Pelodiscus sinensis: one gene and its partners. The protein of the gene in region 2 purifies or fractionates together with the protein of the main gene of each other region. This does not show direct contact. Links are inferred from orthologs where the notes say so. Each region holds a gene or a part of one and is shown on either strand. Other genes may lie near its edges.

Region 1 (7,203 bases), on a different chromosome or scaffold from region 2:
TTCAATACAGTAATAAAACCAAGAATGCCAGTTAGTAACTCAACAGCTTTAAAAATGTTTTTGAACAATTCTGTCAGCCTCAGCCCATGTGCCAGTTCTGTACAATAATAAAAAGGACCAAAAAGATACTCAAGTGTTTATTTTAAACAGACCCAACAAAACATGAAAAACAAAGCTAAGAGTAATTAAAACATACTCAGTTTCTGTAGCCTTGTACTCTCTAGGATTTTGTTCACCGCTAATCAAATCCTTTTTACTTTCTTATTTGAAAGATGTTTTTGGAAGTGCATTTCTGCTAAAGTAGCAAGATACTACGTGCGTACCACTGATAATGCAAGTTACACACACATTATAGAATTAGTAGTACTTAGGTACAGCTCATCTGAAGTAGCACATGGGATTATCTGGCACCAAAGATAACATGAGAAAATGCCTGAGCAAGGAGGTTCAGGTAGCCTTTTACTCACAGGTTGAATCTCTCTAGTCCAGCAATATCCGTAGTCCGGCATGATTTTAGTTAGCCGTGGCAGTGTTGGTAATTCTGCTAGACAATACTGACCTCTTGTGATTCAGCAAATTCTCTGGTTCAGCACCAGTCAGGTCCCAAGAGTGCTGGACTAGAGAGATTCAACCTGTAAAGATTTTGTATTTTGGAAAAAAGACTAGGCAAACAAGCGATAAAGACCTTTTAAGAGCAGATGTAGTTGAATTCTAAATGACTGAATTTATCTTTGAAGGTCAGAGCTGAAAATGTTGGCCGTAAAAGAGTAGATTTTCTATCTTAGAATTGCATCAAATGAACTATATATACCCTCAAAGGTGCATCTCTTATATACATATATGTTATCATACTGTCATCACCAAGGCACTAAGTGACATGACTGACAGCTATCACATGTGGTTCATTTTTTCACCATCTCCCAGAGGAAAAGCTGTACATGAATTATCCTTTGTTTTAGTAAAGCTGCACCCTGCTGTACAGATGGTGGAGAAGGCAAGGTGGAAATAGTGCCCCTTGAAGCTGATGCAAAGGTGGTGAAGTTTGTGTTGGTGCTTTGTTCCCTAGGGAGTTTGGTGACCAGCCTGGAACTGGCCATTGAGAAAGCCTGCCACCTGCAGAGATGAACTTTCCCTTATGATAGTACATTCTATTGTGTTAAGGGAGTGAAGCTGTCGACTAGTCCTCATGTCAGAATTTTAGCTGATCTTTTAGACATGTTGGGCACAGATCATTAAGCACCTTCAAGATAAAAATGGAGACCTTGATGTAATACTCTCTAAAAAGTCAATGTAGAGTTCAGAACAATTCAGCGTGCTCCCAGTAGCCTTTGTTGCAGTGGTCTGCATTAGGCAGATTGATGGTTTTATGTCCAGCTATATCACATCAGTATTGGTGTGCTAGCAAGGAACCCAAGAGCATTGCTGATCTGCAGACTGACGTGATCAGTTGAGGACTTTTAACAAAAGCTGACTGCCCTGGGACTGCAAATTCCCCAACTTGACTGCTCTCAAGTCTTGCCTGAGTTCAGCTTCAGAAAGCTGTTCACATATCAGCTGATGTCAAAGCACTGGGCTACCTTGGTGATAGTAGCATGGCTCTACCTGTTCTTCACTGCATACAGCTGACTCATCTGGTACTTGAATCCAGGCATCTCACAGGTTTGCCTAGTAGCTGCATGTAGAACAGAAGTGGGAGCAAACCCCTGCAGCTTGGAAAGCCTTCCTAAATGCGCGTTCCTTGTCAGTGAAGGGTAACACCAGGTCTTCACAGAGCTGGTCTGGGCTGCAGGCATACAGCACTAAAGGGGTATAATCAAAGAATACTAGGACTGGAAGGGAACTCAAGAAGTCATTGAGTCCAGTCCCCTGCCAAGACCAAATACTGTCTAGACCATCCCTGATAGACATTTATCTAACCTACTCTTACATATCTCCAGAGATGGGGATTCCACAACCTCCCTGGGCAATTTATTCCAGTGTTTAACTACCCTGACAGGCAGGAAGTTTTTCCTAATGTCCAACCTCAACCTCCCTTGCTGCAGTTTAAGCCCATTGCTGCTTGTTCTATCCTCTGAGACCAAGATGAACAAGTTTTCTCCCTCCTCCTTGTGACACCCTTTTAGACACCTGAAAACGGCTATCATGTCCCCCCTCAATCTTCTCTTTTCCAAACTAAACAAGCCCAGTTCTTTCAGCCTTCCCTCATAGCTCATGTTCTCTAGAGCTTTCATCATTCTTGTTGCTCTTCTCTGCACCCTCTCCCATTTCTCCACATCTTTCTTGAAATGCGGTGCCCAGACCCCGGCACGTAACCAGCCCGAGGAGGCTCTGAAGACATAGAATCACAGAACCCCAGAGCCGGCAGAGACCTCAGAAGGTCAAGTCCAGCCCCCGGCTCTAGGCAGGACCAACCCCATCTAAATCAGCCCGGCCAGGGCTGTGTCAAGCCGAGACAAACACCTCTAGGGATGGAGACTCCACTGCCTCCCTAGGGAACCCAGCCCAGCGCTCCCCCCCCCCAGGGAAATGGTTTTTCCCACCCCCCAACCCGGGCCCTCCCCCACAGCTGAGGCCGTGGCTCCAGACACGAGTGACCGAGCCGCGCAGGGACCGAGGGGAAGGCTCGTGCGGACTCGCGGCGGCTTGTCCCATCCCAGGCGCGGGCGGGGGGGGCTGTCTGAGGAGCCGGAGCAGCACGCGCGGCCTGTGCGCCAAGGGCGGGGGCGGGAAGCGACGGGCGGCGCGCGGGGCCCGTAACGGCCGCTCGGCCTCAGGGGATGGGGACCGAGGCGCGCGCCCCTCGCCCGCCGGGAGCGCGCTGCGCGGCCCCGCCGCCTTGCGGAGAGCTCCCGCCGCCCCGCGCTCACCATCGTTCTCGTCGCTGTGGCGCCTCCGCGACATGCTGCCGGGCGGGGCGGGGCGGGAGCGGCGCTGGGCAGAGGCCGCGGCGGCGCCGAGAAGCGTTTCCCTCCGGCCGGCCCCTCCGCTCCGGCTTCCTGCCCGCCGCGAGCTGCTTCCGGGGCAAAGGGCGGCGGGAGCGGCGCGCCCCGCCCCCTCCCCCGCTAGCGTGCGGCGCGCCCCAGCGAGCGCGGGGATCGCTTCCGGGGCGGGCCAGGGAGCGTCGCAAAGTTCCCACAGCCGCGGTGAGCTGGGGCGCCTGCGCGAGGGCCCGATCCCGCTCGGGGGCCGCCAGTGGGCCCGAGTCTGAGCACCGGGCCCTCAGCACACGGGCATCCCCGCCCCGGGCCCTCAGCACACGGGCATCCCCGCCCGGGCCCTCAGCACACGGGCATCCCCGCCCCGGGGCCCTCAGCACACGGGCATCCCCGCCCCGGGCCCTCAGCACACGGGCATCCCCGCCCCTGGCCCTCAGCACACGGGCATCCCCGCCCCGGGGCCCTCAGCACACGGGCATCCCCCCCCCCCGGGCCCTCAGCACACGGGCATCCCCGCCCCGGGCCCTCAGCACACGGGCATCCCCGCCCCTGGCCCTCAGCACACGGGCATCCCCGCCCCGGGGCCCTCAGCACACGGGCATCCCCGCCCCGGGGCCCTCAGCGCACGGGCATCCCCGCCCCGGGCCCTCAGCACACGGGCATCCCCGCCCCGGGGCCCTCAGCACACGGGCATCCCCGCCCCGGGCCCTCAGCACACGGGCATCCCCGCCCGGGCCCTCAGCACACGGGCATCCCCCCCCCCTGCCCCTCAGCACACGGGCATCCCCGCCCGGGCCCTCAGCACACGGGCATCCCCGCCCCGGGCCCTCAGCGCACGGGCATCCCCCCCCCGGGCCCTCAGCACACGGGCATCCCCCCCCCGGGCCCTCAGCACACGGGCATCCCCGCCCCGGGCCCTCAGCGCACGGGCATCCCCGCCCGGGCCCTCAGCACACGGGCATCCCCCCCCCCGGGCCCTCAGCACACGGGCATCCCCCCCCCGGGCCCTCAGCACACGGGCATCCCCGCCCCTGGCCCCTCAGCACACGGGCATCCCCGCCCCTGGCCCTCAGCACACGGGCATCCCCGCCCCGGGCCCTCAGCACACGGGCATCCCCCCCCCCGGGCCCTCAGCACACGGGCATCCCCGCCCCTGGCCCTCAGCACACGGGCATCCCCGCCCCGGGCCCTCAGCACACGGGCATCCCCGCCCCGGGCCCTCAGCACACGGGCATCCCCGCCCCGGGCCCTCAGCACACGGGCATCCCCGCCCCGGGCCCTCAGCACACGGGCATCCCCGCCCCGGGCCCTCAGCACACGGGCATCCCCGCCCCGGGCCCTCAGCACACGGGCATCCCCCCCCCCGGGCCCTCAGCACACGGGCATCCCCGCCCCGGGCCCTCAGCACACGGGCATCCCCGCCCCGGGCCCTCAGCGCACGGGCATCCCCCCCCCGGGCCCTCAGCGCACGGGCATCCCCGCCCCGGGGCCCTCAGCACACGGGCATCCCCCCCCCGGGCCCTCAGCACACGGGCATCCCCCCCCCCGGGCCCTCAGCACACGGGCATCCCCGCCCCTGGCCCTCAGCACACGGGCATCCCCCCCCCAGGGCCCTCAGCGCACGGGCATCCCCCCCCCGGGCCCTCAGCTCACGGGCATCCCCGCCCCGGGGCCCTCAGCACACGGGCATCCCCCCCCCGGGGCCTCAGCGCACGGGCATCCCCCCCCCGGGCCCTCAGCACACGGGCATCCCCCCCCCGGGGCCCTCAGCGCACGGGCATCCCCCCCCCGGGCCCTCAGCACACGGGCATCCCCCCCCCGGGCCCTCAGCACATGGGCATCCCCGCCCCTGGCCCTCAGCACACGGGCATCCCCCCCCCGGGGCCCTCAGCACACGGGCATCCCCCCCCCGGGGCCCTCAGCACACGGGCATCCCCCCCCCGGGCCCTCAGCACACGGGCATCCCCGCCCCGGGCCCTCAGCACACGGGCATCCCCGCCCCGGGCCCTCAGCGCACGGGCATCCCCGCCCCGGGCCCTCAGCTCACGGGCATCCCCGCCCCTGGCCCTCAGCACACGGGCATCCCCGCCCCGGGGCCCTCAGCGCACGGGCATCCCCGCCCCGGGGCCCTCAGCGCACGGGCATCCCCGCCCCGGGCCCTCAGCGCACGGGCATCCCCGCCCCTGGCCCTCAGCGCACGGGCATCCCCGCCCCGGGGCCCTCAGCACACGGGCATCCCCGCCCCGGGGCCCTCAGCACACGGGCATCCCCGCCCCGGGGCCCTCAGCACACGGGCATCCCCGCCCCTGGCCCTCAGCGCACGGGCATCCCCGCCCCTGGCCCCTCAGCACACGGGCATCCCCGCCCCTGCCCCTCAGCACACGGGCATCCCCGCCCCGGGGCCCTCAGCACACGGGCATCCCCGCCCCGGGGCCCTCAGCACACGGGCATCCCCGCCCCGGGGCCCTCAGCACACGGGCATCCCCGCCCCTGGCCCTCAGCACACGGGCATCCCCGCCCCGGGGCCCTCAGCACACGGGCATCCCCGCCCCGGGCCCTCAGCACACGGGCATCCCCGCCCCGGGGCCCTCAGCACACGGGCATCCCCGCCCCTGGCCCTCAGCACACGGGCATCCCCGCCCCGGGGCCCTCAGCACACGGGCATCCCCGCCCCGGGCCCTCAGCACACGGGCATCCCCGCCCCGGGGCCCTCAGCACACGGGCATCCCCGCCCCGGGGCCCTCAGCACACGGGCATCTCCGCCCCTGGCCCTCAGCACACGGGCATCCCCGCCCCTGGGCGTGCAGCATAGGAACAGCGCTGGCCCCAGGCGCGCGGTGCATAGGCACTACCGGCTCCTGGGCGCGCGGCACAGGAGCGGCGCCAGCCTCAGGCATGCAGCGCATGGGCTGTTCCAACCCCAGGCGCATGGCGTATGGGTGGCCCCATCCCCGGGCACATATGCAGCCCCGCCCCTGTGCGCCTGGCACAATGAATGGCCCCACCCCCTGGCACCCGGGAGCCCCAAAAGGTTGGGGTCCACTAGTCTAAAACCATTTTGAGGGAACAGGTACATTTTCAATAGCCAAGTGTCAGATTATTTTGGATTGCTTGATGTGAAGTCCAAATATGTTGTTTCAATAAGGCACCAATATTTCATTTTGATTTCCTGGATTTCATTCATTTTGATATTCTACGTTAAATATATGTCTAACATGTTTCAACATTATAAAAACAAAATGTTCTGAATCAAACTTTTTTTGGAATTTCCATGCTGTGAAAAGGTTCAAAAACTTGACTTTTTGTTCCCAAACAAATTTCAGAATGTTGGTATTTTCTGCAGGATGGAAATTCCCCTTTCTAGCCAGCTCTGTGGAAAGTGTATGTCCCCTGGTACAGAACACCTCCCAGACTGAGCAAGACTTGAATTCCTAGTGTGCTCTAATAGAAACCTCTGGAAGAGAAGCAAGGTGACAGGATGCTAGAGACCCAAGTACATGTATGTTCTTGGTGTTGCGCAGATATCACACATTCTCTCTCCCTCCTTGTGGCAGTTGTATGTGGTTCCAGTTTATTAGTATGAATAGTAACACTATCAAGGTGAGCAGTCCATAAGTGTTATTTTGTCCATAAAATTAGTGTAAAAAGGTTGTGAATTGTAAATTGTCCCTGAAGTGAAGTGTTTCCAGGAAGGAGGTGTGAGATGAGGCATGCTTCCTCCGATACAGAGTGTAGCACTCCAATCTGCCTACCTGGCAAGGGAGAGAGAAGAGGGCACCCTAAAATCCATGGCCTGCTATGCACTATTTAGCACACTGATCAGTCACCCTCTCCAATGAACAGGTCAGGATTTTTGAAATCATGAGTAGTGATAGAAATGTAGCCGTGTTAGTCTGGGGTAGTTGAAGCAAAATGCAGGACAATATAGCACTTTAAAGACTAACAAGATGGTTTATTAGATGATGAGCTTTCGTGGGCCAGACCCACTTCCTCAGATCAAATAGTGGAAGAAAGTAGTCACAACCATATATACACCAAAGGATAGAATTTAAAAAAATGAACAAATATGAAAAGGACAAATCACATTGCAGAACAGAAGGGGGATGCGGGGGGGTGGGAAGGGGGAGGAAGGAAGGTAAGTGTCTGTGAATTGCTGATATTAAAGGTAGGGAGAGTGGGATGTTTGTGAGTTAATGGTATTACAGGTGATAATTGGGGAAACTGTCTTGGTAATGGGTGAGAAAGTTCAAAGACTTGTTAAGTCCCT
Region 2 (6,976 bases):
CCCCAGGCCAGTGAGGGCTTGGGGGCAGAGGGAGCACGCCCTGAGTGGTGGGGGGGGGCGGGGGGAGACTGCGGGCGCCCCAGGCCAGTGAGGGCTTGGGGGCAGAGGGAGCACGCCCTGAGGGGCGGGGGGGGGGGGCGGGGGGAGACTGCGGGCGCCCCAGGCCAGTGAGGGCTTGGGGGCAGAGGGAGCACGCCCTGAGGGGCGGGGGGGGGCGGGGGGAGACTGCGGGCGCCCCAGGCCAGTGAGGGCTTGGGGGCAGAGGGAGCACGCCCTGAGTGGTGGGGGGGGGGCGGGGGGAGACTGCGGGCGCCCCAGGCCAGTGAGGGCTTGGGGGCAGAGGGAGCACGCCCTGAGTGGTGGGGGGGGGCGGGGGGAGACTGCGGGCGCCCCAGGCCAGTGAGGGCTTGGGGGCAGAGGGAGCACGCCCTGAGTGGTGGGGGGGGGCGGGGGGAGACTGCGGGCGCCCCAGGCCAGTGAGGGCTTGGAGGCAGAGGGAGCACGCCCTGAGGGGCGGGGGGGGCGGGGGGAGACTGCGGGCGCCCCAGGCCAGTGAGGGCTTGGGGGCAGAGGGAGCACGCCCTGAGGGGCGGGGGGGGGCGGGGGGAGACTGCGGGCGCCCCAGGCCAGTGAGGGCTTGGGGGCAGAGGGAGCACGCCCTGAGGGGCGGGGGGGGCGGGGGGAGACTGCGGGCGCCCCAGGCCAGTGAGGGCTTGGGGGCAGAGGGAGCACGCCCTGAGTGGTGGGGGGGGGGCGGGGGGAGACTGCGGGCGCCCCAGGCCAATGAGGGCTTGGGGGCAGAGGGAGCACGCCCTGAGGGGCGGGGGGGGCGGGGGGAGACTGCGGGCGCCCCAGGCCAATGAGGGCTTGGGGGCAGAGGGAGCACGCCCTGAGTGGTGGGGGGGGGCGGGGGGAGACTGCGGGCGCCCCAGGCCAGTGAGGGCTTGGGGGCAGAGGGAGCACGCCCTGAGGGGCGGGGGGGGGCGGGGGGAGACTGCGGGCGCCCCAGGCCAGTGAGGGCTTGGGGGCAGAGGGAGCACGCCCTGAGTGGTGGGGGGGGGCGGGGGGAGACTGCGGGCGCCCCAGGCCAGTGAGGGCTTGGGGGCAGAGGGAGCACGCCCTGAGTGGTGGGGGGGGGCGGGGGGAGACTGCGGGCGCCCCAGGCCAGTGAGGGCTTGGGGGCAGAGGGAGCACGCCCTGAGTGGTGGGGGGGGGCGGGGGGAGACTGCGGGCGCCCCAGGCCAGTGAGGGCTTGGGGGCAGAGGGAGCACGCCCTGAGTGGTGGGGGGGGGCGGGGGGAGACTGCGGGCGCCCCAGGCCAGTGAGGGCTTGGGGGCAGAGGGAGCACGCCCTGAGTGGTGGGGGGGGGGCGGGGGGAGACTGCGGGCGCCCCAGGCCAGTGAGGGCTTGGGGGCAGAGGGAGCACGCCCTGAGTGGTGGGGGGGGGGCGGGGGGAGACTGCGGGCGCCCCAGGCCAGTGAGGGCTTGGGGGCAGAGGGAGCACGCCCTGAGTGGTGGGGGGGGGCGGGGGGAGACTGCGGGCGCCCCAGGCCAGTGAGGGCTTGGAGGCAGAGGGAGCACGCCCTGAGGGGCGGGGGGGGCGGGGGGAGACTGCGGGCGCCCCAGGCCAGTGAGGGCTTGGGGGCAGAGGGAGCACGCCCTGAGGGGCGGGGGGGGCGGGGGGAGACTGCGGGCGCCCCAGGCCAGTGAGGGCTTGGGGGCAGAGGGAGCACGCCCTGAGGGGCGGGGGGGGCGGGGGGAGACTGCGGGCGCCCCAGGCCAGTGAGGGCTTGGGGGCAGAGGGAGCACGCCCTGAGTGGTGGGGGGGGGGCGGGGGGAGACTGCGGGCGCCCCAGGCCAATGAGGGCTTGGGGGCAGAGGGAGCACGCCCTGAGGGGCGGGGGGGGCGGGGGGAGACTGCGGGCGCCCCAGGCCAATGAGGGCTTGGGGGCAGAGGGAGCACGCCCTGAGTGGTGGGGGGGGGCGGGGGGAGACTGCGGGCGCCCCAGGCCAGTGAGGGCTTGGGGGCAGAGGGAGCACGCCCTGAGGGGCGGGGGGGGCGGGGGGAGACTGCGGGCGCCCCAGGCCAGTGAGGGCTTGGGGGCAGAGGGAGCACGCCCTGAGTGGTGGGGGGGGGGCGGGGGGAGACTGCGGGCGCCCCAGGCCAGTGAGGGCTTGGGGGCAGAGGGAGCACGCCCTGAGTGGTGGGGGGGGGGCGGGGGGAGACTGCGGGCGCCCCAGGCCAGTGAGGGCTTGGGGGCAGAGGGAGCACGCCCTGAGTGGTGGGGGGGGGGCGGGGGGAGACTGCGGGCGCCCCAGGCCAGTGAGGGCTTGGGGGCAGAGGGAGCACGCCCTGAGGGGCGGGGGGGGCGGGGGGAGACTGCGGGCGCCCCAGGCCAGTGAGGGCTCCGCACTTAGTCCCGGGTGCCCCGTGCAGGGCGGGGGGGGAGCCAGGCCCTTCCTGCTCTCCCTCCCCTGGGGGCAGCGCCAAGTCTCCTCCCCCCCGCCCTTCAGAACAGCCGGCAGTTGGGGGGGGGAGGCAGCTCACGCACCCCCAGGCCAATCAGGGGAGCACAGAAGTGTCCTGGCCCCCGCCCCTTCCGCCTGAGGCCCCGCCCCTTCCGGGGCAGCCCAGGGCCAGTTCAAAACCGGCCAATAACCACCGCCCCTCCCCCCCGGCCCGAGGGCTGCTCGGCGCGCGGCGAGCGAAGCGCTGCGCAGGCGCGGCCCGCGGGGCAACGGCCGCGGCGAGGGGAGCCCGCGCGAGGCCCGGCCCCTCCCCCTCCCGCGAGGCCGGCGCGCACCGTAGGCGTAGATGCCGCGCAGCAGGTCCTCGCGCAGCCCCATGGTGTCGAAGGTGGGGGTCACGTCCACCTCCTCGCTCGTCTCGAACTCCACCTTGGTCATGTCCTCCTCCTTCAGCAGCCGCTTGCGGGCCGCGCCCGCCGCGCCCGACATGGCCGCTCCGCCTCGCGCCCAGCCTCTGCCGCGCGCCTGCGCCGCGTGACGGGGAAGGCGAGCCTCGCTGCGGAGCTGGCCCCGCCCCCAGGCGCTGGCTCCTCCTCCCGCCCTAGGACGAGCCGGGGGCGGGGCGCGGAGAGCAGAGGCCGCCGCGGGGCGGGGCAAGGGGCGGGGCGTGTGCCCACGTGTCACCACCAGCGCTCCCGGGGGGGCCTGGCCCCGTCAATTCACATGGGGGGCGGGTCCCGCTGCGGCCCCAGGGGCTACGCCCCCCGCCCCGCCCCCCCAGGCTGCTCGGGGCCGGCCGGGCGCACAAAGGCAGCAGAGCGGGCCCGGCAGGAGGCGAGTCCCGGCGCCACGGGGAGGGGCGCTGAGGCGGACGGGCCCGGCACGCGCGGCTGAGGTCTGTCCCGGGTGTGTGACACCGGCACGGGGGGGCCGCTCCACCTCCAGCTTCCTGCGCGGGGTGCGGGGGGCTGGGCCGGCCCCGGGGGGTGCGGGGTGCTGGGCCGGCCCGGGGGGTGGGGGGGGTGCGGGGTGCTGGGCCGGCCCGGGGGGTGCGGGGTGCTGGGCCGGCCCCGGGGGCTGGGGGGGTGCGGGGTGCTGGGCCGGCCCCGGGGGGTGCGGGGTGCTGGGCCGGCCCCGGGGGCTGGGGGGGGTGCTGGGCCGGCCCGGGGGGTGCGGGGGGCTGGGCCGGCCCGGGGGGTGGGGGGGTGCGGGGTGCTGGGCCGGCCCCGGGGGGTGGGGGGGTGCGGGGTGCTGGGCCGGCCCGGGGGGTGCTGGGCCGGCCCCGGGGGGTGCGGGGTGCTGGGCCGGCCCCGGGGGGTGCGGGGTGCTGGGCCGGCCCCGGGGGGTGCGGGGTGCTGGGCCGGCCCCGGGGGCTGGGGGGGGGTGCTGGGCCGGCCCCGGGGGCTGGGGGGGGTGCTGGGCCGGCCCCGGGGGCTGGGGGGGTGCGGGGTGCTGGGCCGGCCCCGGGGGGTGGGGGGGTGCGGGGGGCTGGGCCCGCCCCGGGGGGTGGGGGGGTGCGGGGGGCTGGGCCCGCCCCGGGGGTTGGGGGGGGTGCTGGGCCCGCGCCGGCCGGCCCGGGGGGTGCGGGGCGCTGGGCCGCCCCGGGGGGTGGGGGGGGTGCTGGGCCCGCGCCGGCCGCCCCGGGGGGTGGGGGGGGTGTGGGGGGCTGGGCCCGCCCCGGGGGGGTGCGGGGTGCTGGGCCCGCGCCGGCCGCCCCGGGGGAGGTGCTGGGCCCGCCCCGGGGGCTGGGGGGGGTGCGGGGTGCTGGGCCCGCCCCGGGGGCTGGGGGGGGGTGCTGGGCCCGCGCCGGCCGCCCCGGGGGGTGGGGGGGTGCGGGGGTTGCTGGACCCGCCCCGGGGGCTGGGGGGCTGCGGGGGGCTGGGCCGGCGCCGGCGGCCCCGGTGGCTGGGGGGGTGCGGGGTGCTGGGCCCGCCCCGGGGGGTGGGGGGGTGCGGGGTGCTGGGCCTGCCCCGGGGGGTGCGGGGGGTGCTGGGCCCGCCCCGGGGGCTGGGGGGCTGCGGGGGGCTGGGCCCGCGCCGGCGGCCCCGGGGGGTGGGGGGGTGCGGGGTGCTGGGCCCGCCCCGGGGGGTGCGGGGTGCTGGGCCTGCGCCGGCCGCCCCGGGGGGTGGGGGGGTGCGGGGTGCTGGGCCTGCGCCGGCCGCCCCAGGGGCGGGGGGGAGGTGCGGGGTGCTGGGCCTGCGCCGGCCGCCCCGGGGGCGGGGGGGGGTGCGGGGTGCTGGGCCCGCGCCGGCCGCCCCAGGGGAGGTGCTGGGTTTTCTCCCCGTGATAACTGGGTTTCTCTGGGGTGGGTTGTGCGTCTGTGGAACATCGCTGGGCCTGTGATAGTGTCTAGGTCTGGCCATGCTTAGTACAGTTGCTTGGCTCGTTTGTGTCTAGCTCTCTGCTGGTCCCTCGCATTCCTTCCGGAGCTGCGATGCTGCTGCTTCTGCCTTTCTCCCTAGGCCTTGCCGCAGCCGAAGGGTGCTCAGATAGCCAGGACCTGCCTGGCAGTGCCAAGCTGTAATGAGCGGGGGGTGAAAGGAAATGATCCAGAGCTGAGACTGCTTGTCCGTTCCAGTCATTTGTGAACTGTCTGCAAGGCCAAAGGTGGCTTGTGTTCCAGTTCCAACACTGTTCCGCAAGGTGTGCTGCACCCATCTACACTAGGACGCTGATACATGAAATAAGCAGCAGGTGCCCCCCAGTCAGAAATAAAAGTGGCTTAACTGTCCAAGTCTTTTGGTAACTGCGCTGAGAATGATTTTGTCCCATCTGGCCCCTCCTAAGCCATTTCTAACACTGACTGAAGTCATGTGTCACATAGAATCACGGACACTCATCCAGTCCAGTCCCCGCCCTCACAGCAGGACCCAGTACCAGGGTTGCCAACCGTCTGTAAATTTACAGAGAGTCCGTAATAGCTGAGAACTGGTATCCAGGGCCCCTTCTCCCAGTGCAGATGGGACTCTGGAGAGTTGGAGCGTGTGGCTCTAGTACATAGCAAAGTGCACAAATGAACTTGGCCCAATGGAGCCCACCTTGTGGGTGTGATGCCGGTTGGGGGGGGGGGGGGTATGTCTGACGGCACTTGCTGCCAGAGGGTCACCTCACTAAGGTGGAGGGACTCTACATTGCCTTGCATTTGTCAGCTTCATTTTTTCCCCTTTATTTCTTCAACTGGACTATTTTGCACTGATTTTCTTTGTAGCCTCATCGCTGAGCCGCTCCCATTGGCACAACGTTGGCTCCTTCGCACTTCAAACTCCAGAGTGGCTGTTGCCTCTGTAGAACAAGGGAAGGGAGGGGTTGTGTGTAGAACAGTCCATATGAAGGACTGCAGGCCAGTAGAATTCTGGAGCTTTCAAAGTTGGTAGGGCCAAGACTTGATTTATTGGAACAAATCACATCAGCCAGTGTCCATTTGGTTTCTTTTCATTAGGAGTCCACACACACGTGGAGCCCACTGCAGGTTCAGACCGTAGGGCTTGTGTGCTGGGTAGTGTCCAGCGCTTTTTACAGAGAAGTGTACACAGCTGATTGTGAATATCTTGTGTAAGCTGGCTACCCTCTTGTCACATCTAGCGTGAAAGGCAGGCACTTCTACTTGTCTGTTGGGGCTGAAGCTGCAGAACTAGGCGAGTTTCCTTTATTCCTGCAGCTAATTTGGTTTTCTTTAGCGTGAGTGTAGAGCTTCTTAAGGCCTGGATTGTGCTACCCTTACACACCTTGAGTAATCGTTCTCTCTGTGAATGATCAGATTCCTGTGAGGCTACTTGGAGAATAAAGTGAGTAAGACGCTGCTGAAAACAGAAATGGAAACCACAGTCTTTGATTTGTACTTGGAACCTGGACAGCCCTGCCACGCCCCCCTCTCGATTCCCTGGAGATCCTGCTGGGGCGAGGGAGCCCCTCTCTGATCCTCTTTTAGTTCTAACTGAGACCGGGTTCTGCCTTGATGCCCCTGAACAAGAGGTGCAACGTGCACAGATACCGAGACCAAACATTCTTTGCTGCACGTATAATGCTGACCCATGTGTCATTGTCCCTTTTCCTGTGCACCCACTCAGGAAATGCCGCCCAGACTGCTCCTTCACTCGTCCCCTTCCTCCAAACAAAGGGCGTCAAGACGCTGTTCCCTCTGTTTTCCCTCTGTGTGCAGAATACATTTTGTTCTGTGCACCAAGGCACGTGCAGATGTGCACCACCAGTAGGAATACCTGCTGCCAGCTGGGGGCACGCTGTTAATTGGCTGGGGGGCATTTTAATCTCTCCTGGGCAGCCACCCAAGTGCTTCACTTTCAGGGAACGGTGCCTCAAGGCAGTGACAAAATACAGGACTATGTAGCACTTTAAAGACTAACAAGATGGTTTATTAGATGATGAGCTTTCGTGGGCCAGACCCACTTCCTCAGATCAAATAGTGGAAGAAAATAGTCACAACCATATATATCAAAGGATACAATTAAAAAAAATGAACAAATATGAAAAGGACAAATCCCATTTCAGA
Region 3 (7,632 bases), on a different chromosome or scaffold from region 2:
GACAAACACTTAAGTTCCTGGTTTAATGTACATTAGCGGAAAAAAGCTCTGATATAGAGAAGAATCAATTGCTTACACTTTGTTAGAAGAGCAGGCAAAAGAACCATATCTAACTCTCTCCTCATAACATCTAGGAATTTGAGACATCTGAACATTAATCCATAGCAAATAAACAATGTGCATACATTTAAAAATAAAAGATTAAACTGGATTTAATGGTATGGAAATAATACTTAAAGGTGATCATCTGTCAGGCCTTGTAAAAAGTTTTATTTTTAGTTACTTCTCTTGCAGAGTACAAATTTATGTAGCTTTTTAAGGCAGCAAAATGTTCCCCAAAACCCAAGATGAGTCTGCTAAAATGTACAAGACTAGACAGCTATGTAACAAGGTTAGGAAAACTAAGGAAATCTATAGTTCTTGCTATACTGCGGTTCAAAAGGAACATTATCTAAACATCTAAAGAAAATCAGGTTGTGAAACAAGGAGGCAACAGGAGTATCAAGAAGAATATGACAACTTGCAAAAGTTTCTGAAAGAAATTGTTTCAGCAGTTTGATAGAGATATAAAACCAATTTTTTTCCCACAGGATAGCAATAGATTTTATTATTATAAAAGCTCTAAATACACTGTACATAGTTTTTAACTTCTATATTTGTTTTCCTTTCAGACCACATATTTAAAGGAAATTGTATTTGATATTAATCTACAGACAGGAGTCTTAGGGTGCTAAGATTGCCAAAGACTTTCAGGAGGTCTATACATGTTGTTAGTATGGCTCTCTCCAGCATGTGGATCAGATGGCAACGTTTCCCCTCTTATTTGTTAAGCTTCTATTTTAAATAAGTCCTCTGTCTAGGCATATGCAACATGAGTTTTCACTAGGAACGTAACTGATTAAAGAGAGGATGGGGGGCACGTTTTAGCCCAATCCCGCTGGAGCAGCCTCCCCACTGCAAGCAGAGCTCATCATGGGCAGGGGCTGCGGTGGGTGGCCAGAACAGCCTCTGCCTGCGATGGGCCCAAGCCCACTTAAGCAGCCCCTGCTGGGGGGAGGGAGGGGCAGTGAGCTGCTCCACTCCCCACTAGTTAACCAGAACTGCTAAGCATCAAGTGGGATGCTTATTGGTTAACCTTTCACATCCCTAGTTTTTACTGAGGTTGATATCAGAGTGCACCAAGTAAAGAGACCAATGAAGATGAACCAAGAATCCTTTCTACTGCCAGACTTGAGCTCAGGAGTCTGTCTCTCTCTTACAATAGACAACATTACGAACAGCTCAGGTAATTGCATCCCTGATTCTGTCTTTATGCAGCTATCAACTTTTGGAGAGGACAGAACTCTGAATACAAGTCTTCATAAGTAAATGGAGAAATGAAAGCACACACGATATTCTTGAACTGGGATCTTAAACTTAGTAGCACTTCAATTCACCTTTTAATTTGCATTTTAATCAGTAGATAGTTTACAAACTATTGTTGGTACTGGGATTATATCAGCATTTGCTTGTCCATGCAGTTGACTAGTTGACACATTCTGTGATCTTTTTAAATATTATAGCAACTATGAAGCTTAGATGTCTTTAAAAACAGCAATGTAAATTTTCTGCCACACAGAGTCATAAAGCTTAAATGCAGGTTACCTTCATTTATGATATTTCATCGTGTATATGCATCTTAACTTCCTCTTTTCTTACACTCGCTATTCCAAGAAAATCCTGGTTTCCCTTCTTTTTTAACTTCCTCTTTTCTTACACTCACTATTCCAAGTGAATCCTGGTTTCCCTTCTTTTTTAACTTCCTCTTTTCTTACACTCACTATTCCAAGAAAATCCTGGTTTCCCTTCTTTTTTAATATGAAGGGACTATACAAGGCTATTGCTCAGTGGTATATCAAATGCTACCACATTTCCCTTAAAATATTGTCTATTACATTTTAATCGTCTCCAACCTTCAATCCCAAATGGGGTTCACAGGAATAGGACACACGTGCCAGCCACCACACACAATGCAACGGGAAAAGATGGATAACAAGGAAGAGGGAAAAACCACCACACGAATTAGCCCCATGCAACGTGTTTCAGAATTTGATCACAACTAAGTTGCCCAATTGGAAAGGGGGGGGGGGGCATGCCAGCGGATTGTGCTGTTCCCCACAGGCAGCAAAAGGCAGACGGGGGGGGGGGGGGGGTTCAAGCCAGCTCCTACCCACAACACGGAAGGAAGTCACATTCCTCATGATGCAACCCTGAAATCTGACACTTCTACAGCCCCCCCCCCCCCCGGCCATGTGTTCTCAGAGAGGAAGGGGCACCGGGTCCAGCCCTGCCCCCCACCCCCCTACACTGGCAGCACGTGCCGGGCTAAGGCGAAGGCAGAGAGTAACCCCCCCCCCCGTGCTGAGTGTGTGTGTGGGGGGGGTCTCTGAACGCCACCTGCCCACGCGGGGCGCTGCTGCGGCTTCCCTCAGGGGAATCCCCCCCCCCCCCAGCGCGGACCCACCTGTGCCTCGATCTGTCCGGGCGGCCCCTGCCCCGGCGGCCCCTGCCCGCCGTGCCCGGGCGGGGTCTGGGTCTGGCTGGGGAGGGTGAAGTCGGTGAACTCGAACTCGGAGCCCTGGGTGTCGGCGCCGAGCAGCTCGGCCTCCTCGGTGTCCAGGAAGGTGAGCGTCTGCGAGCTGGGGCCGTAGGCCTCCACGCTCATGGCGGCGGCGAGGGGCCGGCGGGGCCTCGCCTCACGGCGGCCGGGCAACCGCGCTACGCGAGCGCCGGGATGGGCCGCGCGCACCAGGCCGCGCGGCGCGTCGGGCGCCAACGAAGCAACCGCCCCTCTTCCCCCCCCCGCCCCTCCTCTTCGGGCCGGGCGGCCGGACGCAGCCGAATCAAGCGGGGGCGAGGGTCCGCCGCGGTGCCGAAGCCCGAGGCGCTGGGAGCGGAGCAGGCCGGCCGGGAACCGCCGCGCGCCAGGCAGGCCAGGGAGCAGGGGTGACGCGGAACGCACGGGGAGGGAGGAGGGGGGGGACGCGGCGCGCGCTCAGGACGCGTGGGGCCGTGACGTAGGCACGCACGCACGCATGCCCGGCGGCAGGTGGGGGGGGGGGGGGGGGCGCGGAGGGAAGGCCCGGGGGCGGGGTCCTAGGTGGGAGGTAACCATAGGCTCCCGTGAGGGGAGGGGCCGCCAGTTGTCCTCTCCCCCCCTCCCCCCACAGGGAGTGGTAGGGGCGGTCTCTGCCCCCACATGGGGGGGGCACTGCCCCCATGGGGAGTGGAGGGAGGTCTCCAACGGCCCCCAGGTGTGGGGGTGGGGAGGGGAGGGGAGATCTGCCATTGCACACGTGTGTGTGTGTGGGGGGGGTCTTTCACTGCCACCCAGGGAGGTAGGGGGAGGACTACCACTGCCCCCCATATGTGGGGAGGGGAAGTCTGCCTCTACCCCATGGGGTGGGGGGGAGGGAGAGATCGCTCGCTTAACTGCTCCCCATGAGTAGTGAGGGGGAGGTCTCCAGTTCCCCCATAGGTGGGAGTGGGAGGTCTCCCACACAAACAGGTGAAAGTCTCTAACTTCCCCTCTTGGTGGGGAGAGAGAGGTCTTTAATTTCCTCCATGTAGGTGGGTGCCGGTCTCAAGCTCGCCCCCCCCCCCCCACACACACACACTGTTGGTGAGGAAGGTCTATAGCTGTCTTCTCTCCCCCAAGAGAGAGGAAGTTCTGTGTTATCAGCGAAGAAAGCAAGCAGAAATCTCTGCTGCCTCTGGTTCATGGAAGGGACTTTTCACCTTCCTGTCACTGTTTTGAATCCACCATGGGCCCAGAGTGACTGCATGTCATGTCTCTGTGTCGCTACGCAGTCACTCCGGGCCAACACTGGATTCACAATGGTTGCCTCCATTTGAAATGAGTTTGGTGGGTCTCAAGCCAATCTTTAGGGAATGCTTGTTTACATCTCAAAAGCCACATGTGCAATTTGTGATGTAGTGAAAGTGGGGTACTTGGGGCCAGGACTCTGGTTCCATTCCCAGATCAGAGCGTGTGTGATGTAGATGCTAAACAAGAGTGTGGGAAGTAGGACACTTGGTTCATTTTCCAGCTCACTGCCTCAGTTTCCCTTTGCCAGGAATAGAAATATGCATATCACAGAAAGGTGTGAGTATTAACTAATGTTTTAAAACACCATGAGACAGACAGAAGGTGATAGAGAAGTGTTAAGTATTATTATTATTATTATTAATTTATATTGATTGATTGCTAACAGTTGTGCCTGGACGGGGAGGCTAATAATCAAATGTACTGTGGAGACTGAAATCTTTACTCATCATTAAAAAAGGGCCTTCCACGTAAGACTGAGGCACATTAGAATTATGGTGTAGGTGAGATAAACAAACAGAAGATTTTGATTTCTAGGGTTCCCATCAATTTTTACCAGCACAAAATTCAGAATTTTTCTAAGGTTAGTTGTGGCAAAACAGGCATGTCAAGCACATTAAACCTTTTCTCTTCCCTCCCCACAACCCTGAAACTTGTATTCATGGCTATGGAAAGTGAACATATGTTTCCTTCTATATCTAACCTCTATGTTTGTAGTTTCAGTGTAAGACAGTGATGAGCAACTTCTGGCCGATCAGGGTTCTAGGGGTGGCCTGTGAGACATTTTGTTTACCTTTGCCCATACACTGGGTTGCCAGATCCCACTGGTTTCCATCCGCATAGGGTTTTTTTTTTCTACTGGTACAGGTTGGACCTCCCTGGTCCAGCATCCTGGGGACCTGAGCGATCCTGAACCAGGTAGTTTTCTGGACCAGGGAGGTCAACTCTCCCCTGCTTGGCGCCGACCCTGCTCCTGGGCTCTCCTCTGGGCTATGGGGCTCTCTGCCCTGCTGCCACCCCCACTGCTGTCAGTCTGGCTGGGGCTTGTCAGGGCCAGGGCTTGCCAGCCGCCACTGGCCCATCTGCTGCCAGCTCACCTGGGGCTCCCCAGCTGCTGGCGGACTCCTGGCTGGCTCGCTCTCCGGCCTCGGGGGCTCTTTGGTCCAGTAGCATCCATAGTCCTGCCAGATTTGAGAGGTTCGACCTGTATTACCAAAGTGAAATGCACATAAAGCAAGGGCATGTGAAGTGAGGTGCGTGCTTATTATCCACAACATTGGGAGAGCCGTGTGCTCCCTCTGCATCCTAACTGCTGCTACAGTTCAAATGGCACACCGTACAAGTTCTAGGTATGCAAGCACAGTTAGCAAAACTACCCTATCTTGGGAGATCATCTTTGTGACGATAATCTTGGAGCCCACTGAGATGAAGGAGGACCACTCATGTGGCCCACTCACTAGCCTCAGTTGCCCATTGCCAGTGTAGGAGAAGAAAACAGATGGACCAGGTTTGCCAGTGTCCATCAGATTTTGATAAAATATTTGCGTTGATGGAATTTGGCCAATTGCTCCTTCTCTCTCTTTGAAACATCCTTCTCTTTGAAATATCATGCATTACTCCAACATAGAAAAGCAATTAGAGTGGTTGGAAGGGCTATTATTTCCCGTACATGGCTTGTTTGTTTTCACCTTTAGGGTGTGTCTAGACTACAGGGTTTTGTTGACAAAAGTGAACTTTTGTCAACAAAACTATACTTGTTCTGTTGACAGTAAGTTGACAAAACGCGGCAGTTGTGTCGACGGCGGTAAACCTCATTCTGTGAGGAATAACGCCTTTTGTCGACAGAGTTCTGTCGACAAAAGGTGCTGTTGCATCCCCACTGTGCTTTTTCAAAAGAGAGCGTTTGGACTCTGTCGAAAAAGTGGCTTGCTTTGTCGACAGAACTGTCTGTAGACTAAATGCTCTTTGTTGACAGAGGCTTTGTCGACAGTGTCTGTTAAAGCCTCTGTCGACAAAAGCCTGTAGTCTAGACGTACCCTCAGTTTCTACGCTTCTGTGAGGAAGCAGGATGCACTGTAGGTTTCCGTTTAAACTGTCGACATCCAGAATCATTTGACTTAGCCCAATGACATTTGTATTGTGCTGGGGCAGTTCTTGATCTTCTCTCCTATTTGGTTGAATGGTTTTCCAGGTCTGTAAATCACAAATATATATATTTCCTGATGCAACAAATTCAGCTGTTTGAGGCTAAAACAATCTTTGATCGGTTTTATCAAGCCATTATGATTCCAAAGGGCTGGCCTGTCTATAGATGTAGGATTCTATTGAGTCCATTCTTTAGCTGGAAAAGGACTTGCTTGTTTTGACTTTGAGCTATCTAGTATCCCTTCACACGGCTGTGCCACTGTCTTTTTTAATAATGAGGGGTAGTAGTGATGTGTTTTTAGCCCACAGTCATTAAGAGAAGTCCCTTGTGTGTAAATATAAAATCAGGACTAGAGTCCTTCAAGTCTCAAAGGTAAGTTCACCTGGTGTTAGTACTCTTCCTCTCTAATTGTTAGCTAATGGTTTTTATCTGCTTCTTTTAACTATCCAGTCTTTAGGTACGTGTTTATATACTATCAGTTTTGCCTGTTACATACTAGCTCGGATTTCCCTTTGATATTTTTATACTCACTGCCTCTTTTTGTTCCTCCCCTCCCATTTTTTTCCTCTCCCCCTGTCCCGCTCCCTTCTTCTCTATTTATTTATTTTTGGTTCTGGACATCCAACACTCTAGTCATCTGAAGAAGTGGGCTGTGCCCACGAAAGCTCATGATACCATCTACATGTTTTGTTAGTCTTTAAAGTGCTACCAGACTTTTTGATTTTTTAATAACCTCACTATTTCTAATCTTCCAGGGAGAAAGGTGTTAAAATGACACCGTCAGGTTTCTATGACCTAGGACTTTTAAAGTACTTTCTGTTTTGTGCGCTATGACAGTATAGCAAAAATGTATATTGTAGTATTGGTTATAAGCAGTAGATTGCAACCGGGAAGAGCCGGGTTTGGGCGATCTGCGCATGCATAGAACGATCTGTGCATGCGCAGATCGCCGGACAGCGCAGCTGGCGAGTGGGGCTCACCGCGGTTCAGCGAGCCCTGGTTATAAAACTATGAGTATGATGCATAATGATTTGATGTATAATGACTTGCTTATAAGTTCTGTATGCTTCTATTTCACCCAGTTTCTCATGATTAGATGATGTTTACTGTAAGGCCTTGTGTCCTGTTAGCATTACAAATTAAGTTGTACTCCTTGTCTGCATGACAAAAGTTGTGGAAGATTCCTTTCTTTTTGCTGTCCCTTTAGTTACTATTAATCTTGTCTGAAACTCCGCACAATTGTTTGGTGTGAATGGAGGAAGTGTGTCAGCATGACAGTCATCACAGATGCCCAGGTGATCAAGAAGAAGTGGAAATCTTGAAGATACCCAGGAAACCACCATTCTGACTGAGGCTGAATTGAATTAGCAGCATTGAGAGAATCGTGGAGATAGGCAGAGATCCCCACGAGTGAGAGACAAAGATGGGAAGTTTGACAATCACCATCAAAGTATAATTCTGGAAAACACAGATTGACACCTCTTAAGTATGGACAATTGCAGCAGGACACTGCAAAACCCACAGACTCCAGTTGGAACTGACATGTATAAAGTGGGGACCTTTGCACATTAGGATTTCCGGGTTCAGTCCAGCAAGCCAAGCCTGAGAGGAGTCTCAGAAG
Region 4 (7,404 bases), on a different chromosome or scaffold from region 2:
TGTTGTGGATTTTTCCTGCTTTTTTGTTAGCCGAAGGCTGCTGCTGTAGTTGTTGTGAAGACATTTGGTAAATAAACAGCTGAGCTGATTGGCCGGGAATGTGTGGGCGGTCGAGGTGGCTGCTGCCGATTTGGTTAAGGTTGGAGAGAAGGCTGAGAGAAAACAGCATGCTCGGGAACCAAAGGGCGGTGCAACCTGACGACTGGCCATGCCTGGGTCATGTGAAACGACACCAGCCAAGCAGAATGGGGCGCGCTGGTCACATGACGCTGAAAGGGCTAGTTGACTGGCTAATGCAGACTCAGAGGGTGGTGAGAAGAGACATGATGGTGACTCTGTAACGGGTTCATTTTTATTAATAGATGGACCAAAAAGCATAAAAAAATGAAAAACAAGCCATCAGTACAACCATCTAGCAGCTAACATACTCCTATTGTGGGTTTTTTATTAGCAAAAGGGACATGGTTTCAAACTTATCCTGTGAGAACTTCACTCACCTGGCAATAGTTAAATTCAGTCCTGTATGAACCATGTTGTAGGCTGAGACGTGCAGAGTTCTAACACATTCAGACACGTTAGTCCAGATCCAAGAAAGTAGGTAGTTACCAAAAAAACCCTGCTATATTTTAGGCTTGGGTTTGCAAAACTCAAATGACAGATACTGTCACAAGAGGTTTTAAACTCTTTACTAGGGTTAAATTAGATTTGTACATTTAAATGCAACTGTTACTTGTTTTAACATAATTAAACAGCTGCCTTCAAGGCAAATATTTGAATTGTTAAAGGGGAGAAATGCATTTGCATGGAAAAGTTAAGTTGCTGAATGTAATGTTTGTCATTATGGAGTAAAAGAAAGGGAACAACCTAAGTAGATGTATGGGAAGAAAGCGACTACAAGATGTGCAGATTTTAGGAAGAGAAAGGATAAGTCCAAGGCAGAGGGTGCTGGCTATCAACTTACAGTGACTTACAGACAAAAGCCAATGTTCAATACAATTTATGTTCTCTTGATTTTATATAAAATGTCTGGCATCTCCAAATTGTGATCAGGATGTTTAAGATGTTACCCATGAACATGCTTTAAAGAAAGCCTGCTTCTATGGTGCTAAATGACAACAATTCAACAGCTCTATGCACTGTCTTTGACCTAGGGTACCTGCGGCGAGGAGGAGGACTTCTTCTGCGATAATCATCTCGAGGACGCCTACCCCAGGATGGCGGCGGACCACGGTTACGACTCCGTTTTTCACCATTGGACAGCTCCACCCTGACTCGGCACCCGCAGAGAGTTCTGGGAAAAAAGTTACAGTTAATACTCTAAGCAATAAATCGGTCTGCTCTGAAGACATACTGGCACGCACTGGAAAAGAAAACATTGTGTACATATAGCACTGAAAAATTGCTAGGGAGATAATCTCAGATGGAGATTCCACTAAGTGCAGGTTAGACAAACACTTGTTGGAGATGGAAGGAACCTATGTATCTAAACAAATGCACACAATATAAAGAAGTCAGATTCAAAGTGACCCAAGCCTCTCCTGTCTAGTTACTTAACACCAAGAAAGCACAGAATCTACCCAAGCGTTTCCTGGGGATGAATTTTGTAGATTTAACTTCATTAACTATGTAGCTTTCTCTCTCATGTAAAGCTGGAAACTCAAAGCTCAATTTTAGTGAACACCTGCAGCTTTATACCTTAACAGCATTGCTGTCCTATGTCAAGACTAATGGTTAAAATAAATTTTACAGTATACCCTAGAACTCTGGCTTCTCCAATACCATTTGAGTGAAAAATCCTGCATCTCCTCTCTATGTAGAATATTTATTTTACAAGGAGAGTAACTAGAAAATGTGACTAAAATGAAATTATAGCATTTATCACAACTATAATTTAATGGAAGTCACAGTTGAATAAGTTTAGTGAAAAGCCCATACTCGGTTGTAGCAAAATCAGGATAGATTGCTCAGCTGGTTAATACTTTAAATCTAGCTGGTAGTCAAAACAAAATTTTAATATCACTTTAAAAGAGCTATTTAACATTCAGCTATCCTTATCTCTTCCACTTCGAAATTAAAAAGCTGTGTTCAGAGACACTAAACTTAGCTCCACTGAAGTAATAAATACACTTCTGAAACGTTTTATGAATACTACTATTTCATGTTTTGTTTCACAAGAATTAAAAGTTCCTTGTGAAATGTTGACTTATTGTCCATCTCTGATACTCCACATACCAGGTACAGGTGGAATCCAACTCTTCTGAATTCTAGAGGCTCTCAAAGTACTTCTAGATGTATTACCAGGTATTTGGAATTTTCAATCTCAGGCCAAGTCTATCCTAGAAAGTGTTTGCCAGCATACCAGCAAATCCACTTACGTAGAGACATCTTATCCCAACAAAACATTTCCTATACCAGATCCCCCAAATGAAAAAGTACAGAAGCAAAAGAACTACACTTTGCTGGTGTAAATGCACCTACTGCTAAGGCACTGCCACTATAGATAGAAAAATCATCCCAGCCTACATTACACCCAGCAAAGGGGTCTCAATTTGACTTCAATTACCAAGAATATCAAATATTGAGATTAACCACAAAAAAGTCTATTTACATAGTTAGCAACCTTAATTAAGAGTTATTCTGGTTTATAAATTTGAATTAGTGGGCAAGTAATTCAACAACTGAATGGCTAGTTAATCTCAATGCCATGATATTACTGGATCTTGGTTAATTTAAGTGTGAATACAAATTGCTTAATCATTGTAATTAAATTAAGTGCATAGTCTAATTAACAAATTTTACCTTCCATCTAGTTCTCTTACTGCATCAGCAGCATCTCGGGGATCTTCAAATTCAACAAAAGCAAAGCCAGGAGGATTTCTAGCAACCCACACACTGCGCAGTGGTCCATAGTAGCCAAAAGCTCGTTCCAATTCAGTTTTGTTGCCATTGTTTCCAAGGTTACCTACATAAACCTTGCAGTCCAGTGGACAAGAGTCCCGATGCATCACTAGGAAAGAAAGCCCAGTAAGTTTAAAAAGCAGATTCCCTCGGCCTACAACTGCAGTATTTCCCTCGGCGGTTAGGCTGCTGCCTGCACTGAAACGCGCAGATGCTAGGCCTGGATGTGCAAGTCTCTCCTCATCTCACCCCGTCAGGCGGCATTGCTGCGTCCTGAGACCCCAGAGACCTGCAAACCCAGGGCCGGGGCGCAGATGCCCGCAGCCCGCTGGCGCGCGGACCCGAGAGGTAAGGGGCGTCGCAGCGACAGTCGGACCCTTCGCTCGCGCGTTAACCCGCGCGCCCCGCCCCGCGGCCCCGCCCCCCGCGTCTCCCCGGCGGGCCTGGGACGGTGGCAGCCAAGACCTGCAGGGGGCGCCGCGCGCGCGCCGAGGGCGCCATTGTTCGGAGCGCGGCGCGCGCTGCCCTGCGGCCCGCCCCGCACGAGGCGCCCCCAGGCCTAGGCCGGCGCGAGCCACCAGCCTGCCCCTCCCCCGGGCACTCGCCGCGCGCGCGGGCCCGCCATGAGCCGGGGGCTCCGGGGGACGCGCCCCGCGCGGGAACCTCGCGCCCCCCCCGGGCCCGGCCTCGCCGCGCCCCATCGCCAGGGCCTCGCTGCCCCCCAGGGCCCCCGCCGCCTGCGGGCTGGGCGGCCGCGCCCGGGCCCCACCGCACAAAATGGCGGCGGCTCTTTGTCCGGCGCCTGAGGCCGCCCGGCGCCCCTCCCCGCGCGCAGCCGGGCCCCGCCCTGAGCCCCGGCTCGGCCCTCACCGATTCCCGGGGCGGACGGGGCTGCGAGAAGGGAGCACGCGCTACGCCGCAGCCGACTCGGTCCCGAGCAGGCTCCCGCTCCGCTTCTCCTGACTGGACAAAATGGCGGCAGCCGCCTCCCCCGCCCGGCCTTATATAGCCCCTCCGCCCCCTCCCGTCGCCAGCCACCGTCAAATCAGAGCGCGCCTCGCACGGGAGTGACAGGTCACGGACCCGCCCCCTCGCTGCCTGATTGGCCTTCCCGCGCCAGGCCCGTCCCGGGGCGCCCCAGGGCCCGCGGGAAGCGCCGCGCTCGCCGCTGCCTGGGGCCGGTGCCGGGCCGCGAGGGCGGCGCTAAAGGCTCGTCGCTGCCGCGGGACGGGCCTGGCGGGAGCCGCGGGGGGCGGGGGCCGGACTCGCGGGTCGGGCCGGGAACAGCCCTGCGAGGGGCGGTGTCCGGAGCGCGGGCAGGGAGCGGCCTGGGGCAGCCGGGCGGGGCGGGGCCGGACTCACGGGATGGTTCATTGGGGGAGGAGCTCCCGTGGCCGGACCCGCTTCCCCGGATCAAACAGTCACGGACACACCAACGGGCACAGTTAAAACGATCGGGGGATCCCCTCCAAGTGCAGCTTTCAGAGCCCGTGACTCATTCATGCTAAAATGTGACACTACGCCGGGGTCTCAACAAAGACGCTAATTATCTCACCCATTACAACGAGCCTCCCCAGTTATCACCTCTAACACCATTAGCTCACACCCCCCCCATCCCCCTCCTGTTCTGCAATGTGATTTGTCCTTTTCATGTGTGTTCATTTTTTTAATTGTATCCTTTGGTATATATGGTTGTGTCTGTTTTCTTCCATATATCGATCTGAGGAAGTGGGTCTGGCCCACGAAAGCTCATCGCCTAATAAACCATCTTGTTAGTCTTTGAAGTGCCACCTAGTCCTGTATTTTGCTTCATGGAAAGGGAGGGGTCTGATAGGAGGGATAACTATATTCTGCAATGACTGTAGGTGGGCAGCAAATATGGGAGACAGCTGTACTGCGAAGTGACCCCCCAGCACCCTGTCCCCTGCTGCAGAAACCTGTCCTGGCACCCTGCCCCCTCTCCCCTACCCCCACTGGCACCCTGTTCCCTGTCCCACAACCCACTAGCACCCCTCCCCAGTACTGTGTCCCCTGCTCCCAAATGACTTTTCTATGGGTCAGTGACCCCTGACTCAAGGCAGGTTCCCTGCCATTCTCATAAATAAAGACAATGCAGAAACTTTTTGGCTGTGTCTACACTGGCATGAATTTCCGGAACTGCTTAAGACGGAATACTATTCCGTTTTCAGTTTTTCCGGAAAAGGAGCGTCTACATTGGCAGGCTGCTTTTCCGGAAAAGCCCCTTTTCCGGAAAAGCGTCTGTGGCCAATGTAGATGCGCTTTTCCGGAAAAGAGCCCCGATCGCCATTTTGCGATCGGGGCTTTTTTCTGGAAAAGACTACTGGGCTGTCTACACTGGCCCTTTTCCAGAACAGTGTTCCGGAATAAGGACTTATGCCCGAGCAGGAGCAGAATAGTTTTTCCAGAATAGCGGCTGATTTTGTACAGTAGAGCGTCGTTGCTTTTCCGGAAATTCAAGGGCCAGTGTAGACAACTCGCAGCTTATTCCGGAAAAGCAGCTGATTTTCCGGAATAAGTGTCCCAGTGTAGACACAGCCTTTGTGTTTAACATAGTATTCTATTTAAAAATGAAGCCTGGCCAACAAACCCTCAATTGGGGCCAAACCCCCATCTGGCCACAACCACTCCTGCACTCCCCCTTCCCCAGACCCTAGATCTGAGCCTATCAAACACTGGAACCTCATGCCCTCAGCCCCTCACATACCCCAACCCAAATTCACATCCACAAGCCTGTGGCTTGCTTAGTATCCCAACACTGCCCAGCCTGGAGCCCCCTCCCCGAGCCAGTGTCCCCTTCTCCACCTCCTCCTGCATCCAGATTTCCTCCCAGAGCTTGTACCTCTCACCCCTTCCCACACCCAAATCCCTCATTCCCACCGCAGAGACTGCACGTCCTGTCTCAACCCAGCGGGGGTCCGGCTAGACTGCAGGAGTTTTTCAGGATTCTGGAGATATCTCAGAAAAACTCTTCTGCATCCAGGGTTGCGTTTGTTCTTCCGCTTTTTTAGTGGAAGAGCAAACAGGCTCTTTTGGTCACCCCTATATTCCTCTTTCCCCAAGGAATAAGGTGGCTTCCAAAAGAAGGGTTTTTTTTCTGACATTTGGTCCAGTGTAGACAGGCCAAATGTTGGAAAAACTTCTTCCTTTAGAATAGTAATAATAATAAAAAAAAATAAGCAGCAGTATAAGGATTGGGGATAGCAAGTGATGGAGAGGAGGAGACTAGAGAGAACGGGGCTTCAAGGAAGGGACGGGGCGGTAGATCTTGGCTTGGTCTGTCATTTAAAAAGTGATCTTGGGTATAAAAATGTTGGAGACCACTGACTTAGAGCGTGGAGCTGCTGTCTCAGGCTAGCCAAGGGCTGTGCTTAAAGGGACCCGACCTCCATCCCGGACAGACAGTTCTCAGGGGTTCCCCGCTTGCAAAGCAGTCCTGGCTTGGAGTGCCCTGAGTGCCCACACTGGGCACATCACAGCACTCGGCCATCAGCCCGGCTGCACTTGCTGCAGGTTGCCATCCGGGGAGGGGTCAGCCGGGGGGGCTGCAGGAGAGCTTCCACCCCGAGGAGCCTGCAGAGCCACCCCAGTCCTCCCCATTGGGGGCTCGTACCTCCCTCACCTCCTTCCACTTACCCCTCCCTAGCCCCCCTTCCTGATGTACAAAATAAAGGACACATGTATTCAAAAATAGAAACTCTCTTTATTGAACAAAACTCGGGGAGACTGGGAAAAGGAGGTGGGAGAGGGGAAGAGAGAGGCTGGGAGAGGGGAGGGCAACCTAAATGATTAGGGGTTTGGAACAGGTCCCATATGAAGAGAGGCTAAAGAGACTGGGACTTTTCAGTTTAGAAAAGGGGAGACTGAGGGGGCATATGATAGAGGTCTATAAAAGCACGAGTGGTGTGGAGAGGGTGCATAAAGAAAAGTTCTTCATTAGTTCCCATAATAGAAGGACTAGAGAACACCAAATGAAATGAATGGGTAGCAGGCTTCAAACTAATAACAGAAAGTTCTTCTTCACAAAGCAAATAGTCAACCTGTGGAACTCCTTGCTGCAGGAGGTTGTGAAGGCTAGAACTAGAACAGAGTTTAAAGAGAAGTTAGATAAAGTAATGGAGGTTGGGTCCATGGAGTGCTATTAGCCAGGGGGTAGAAATGGTGTCCCTGGCCTCTGTTTTGGAAGGCTGGAGATGGATGGCACGAGACAAATGGCTTGGTCATTGTCTTCGGTCCATCCCCTCCAGAGTCCCTAGTGTTGGTCGCTGTCGACAGACAGGCTACTGGGCTAGATGGACCTTTGGTCTGTCCCAGTACGGCCATTGTAAGCTCAGGGTCGGGGGTCTCACTGGACCACCCTGATTTTCATGCACACCTGCTCCTGGGTGGCCAGGCTGGCAGTTCTCCTGCCCTAGACGGCCACTTTCCTGTGCCTAGTGCGGAGGTCGTGGATGAGGTCCACGATCTCCGCACTAGACCAGGTGGGCA

The links.
Region 1: the proteins of EIF4A3 (region 2) and NCBP1 purify together in Homo sapiens (co-immunoprecipitation; 3 studies listed by BioGRID and IntAct, with this or other methods). This does not show direct contact. The link is inferred for Pelodiscus sinensis from reciprocal best matches to the Homo sapiens genes EIF4A3 and NCBP1.
Region 3: the proteins of EIF4A3 (region 2) and UPF1 purify together in Homo sapiens (co-immunoprecipitation; 8 studies listed by BioGRID and IntAct, with this or other methods). This does not show direct contact. The link is inferred for Pelodiscus sinensis from reciprocal best matches to the Homo sapiens genes EIF4A3 and UPF1.
Region 4: the proteins of EIF4A3 (region 2) and SRSF3 purify together in Homo sapiens (affinity purification with mass spectrometry; 3 studies listed by BioGRID and IntAct, with this or other methods). This does not show direct contact. The link is inferred for Pelodiscus sinensis from reciprocal best matches to the Homo sapiens genes EIF4A3 and SRSF3.

The regions. Positions count from the first base shown.
Region 1 is NC_134716.1:345,945-353,147, forward strand, and holds the start of NCBP1 (nuclear cap-binding protein subunit 1), read right to left. Parts: upstream 2,902-7,203; coding exon 2,868-2,901; intron 1-2,867. Other genes in the region: TSTD2 (thiosulfate sulfurtransferase/rhodanese-like domain-containing protein 2), read left to right, coding at 2,900-3,143. UniProt on the Homo sapiens protein: Component of the cap-binding complex (CBC), which binds cotranscriptionally to the 5'-cap of pre-mRNAs and is involved in various processes such as pre-mRNA splicing, translation regulation, nonsense-mediated mRNA decay, RNA-mediated gene silencing (RNAi) by microRNAs (miRNAs) and mRNA export.
Region 2 is NC_134713.1:198,331,110-198,338,085, forward strand, and holds the start of EIF4A3 (eukaryotic initiation factor 4A-III), read right to left. Parts: upstream 3,011-6,976; 5' UTR 2,959-3,010; coding exon 2,805-2,958; intron 1-2,804. UniProt on the Homo sapiens protein: ATP-dependent RNA helicase. Involved in pre-mRNA splicing as component of the spliceosome. Core component of the splicing-dependent multiprotein exon junction complex (EJC) deposited at splice junctions on mRNAs.
Region 3 is NC_134729.1:19,442,288-19,449,919, forward strand, and holds the start of UPF1 (regulator of nonsense transcripts 1), read right to left. Parts: upstream 3,006-7,632; 5' UTR 2,705-3,005; coding exon 2,504-2,704; intron 2,482-2,503; exon of another isoform or gene 1,800-2,481; intron 1,741-1,799; exon of another isoform or gene 1,679-1,740; intron 1-1,678. UniProt on the Homo sapiens protein: RNA-dependent helicase required for nonsense-mediated decay (NMD) of aberrant mRNAs containing premature stop codons and modulates the expression level of normal mRNAs.
Region 4 is NC_134737.1:17,176,097-17,183,500, forward strand, and holds the start of SRSF3 (serine/arginine-rich splicing factor 3), read right to left. Parts: upstream 3,006-7,404; coding exon 2,800-3,005; intron 1,292-2,799; coding exon 1,157-1,291; intron 1-1,156. UniProt on the Homo sapiens protein: Splicing factor, which binds the consensus motif 5'-C[ACU][AU]C[ACU][AC]C-3' within pre-mRNA and promotes specific exons inclusion during alternative splicing.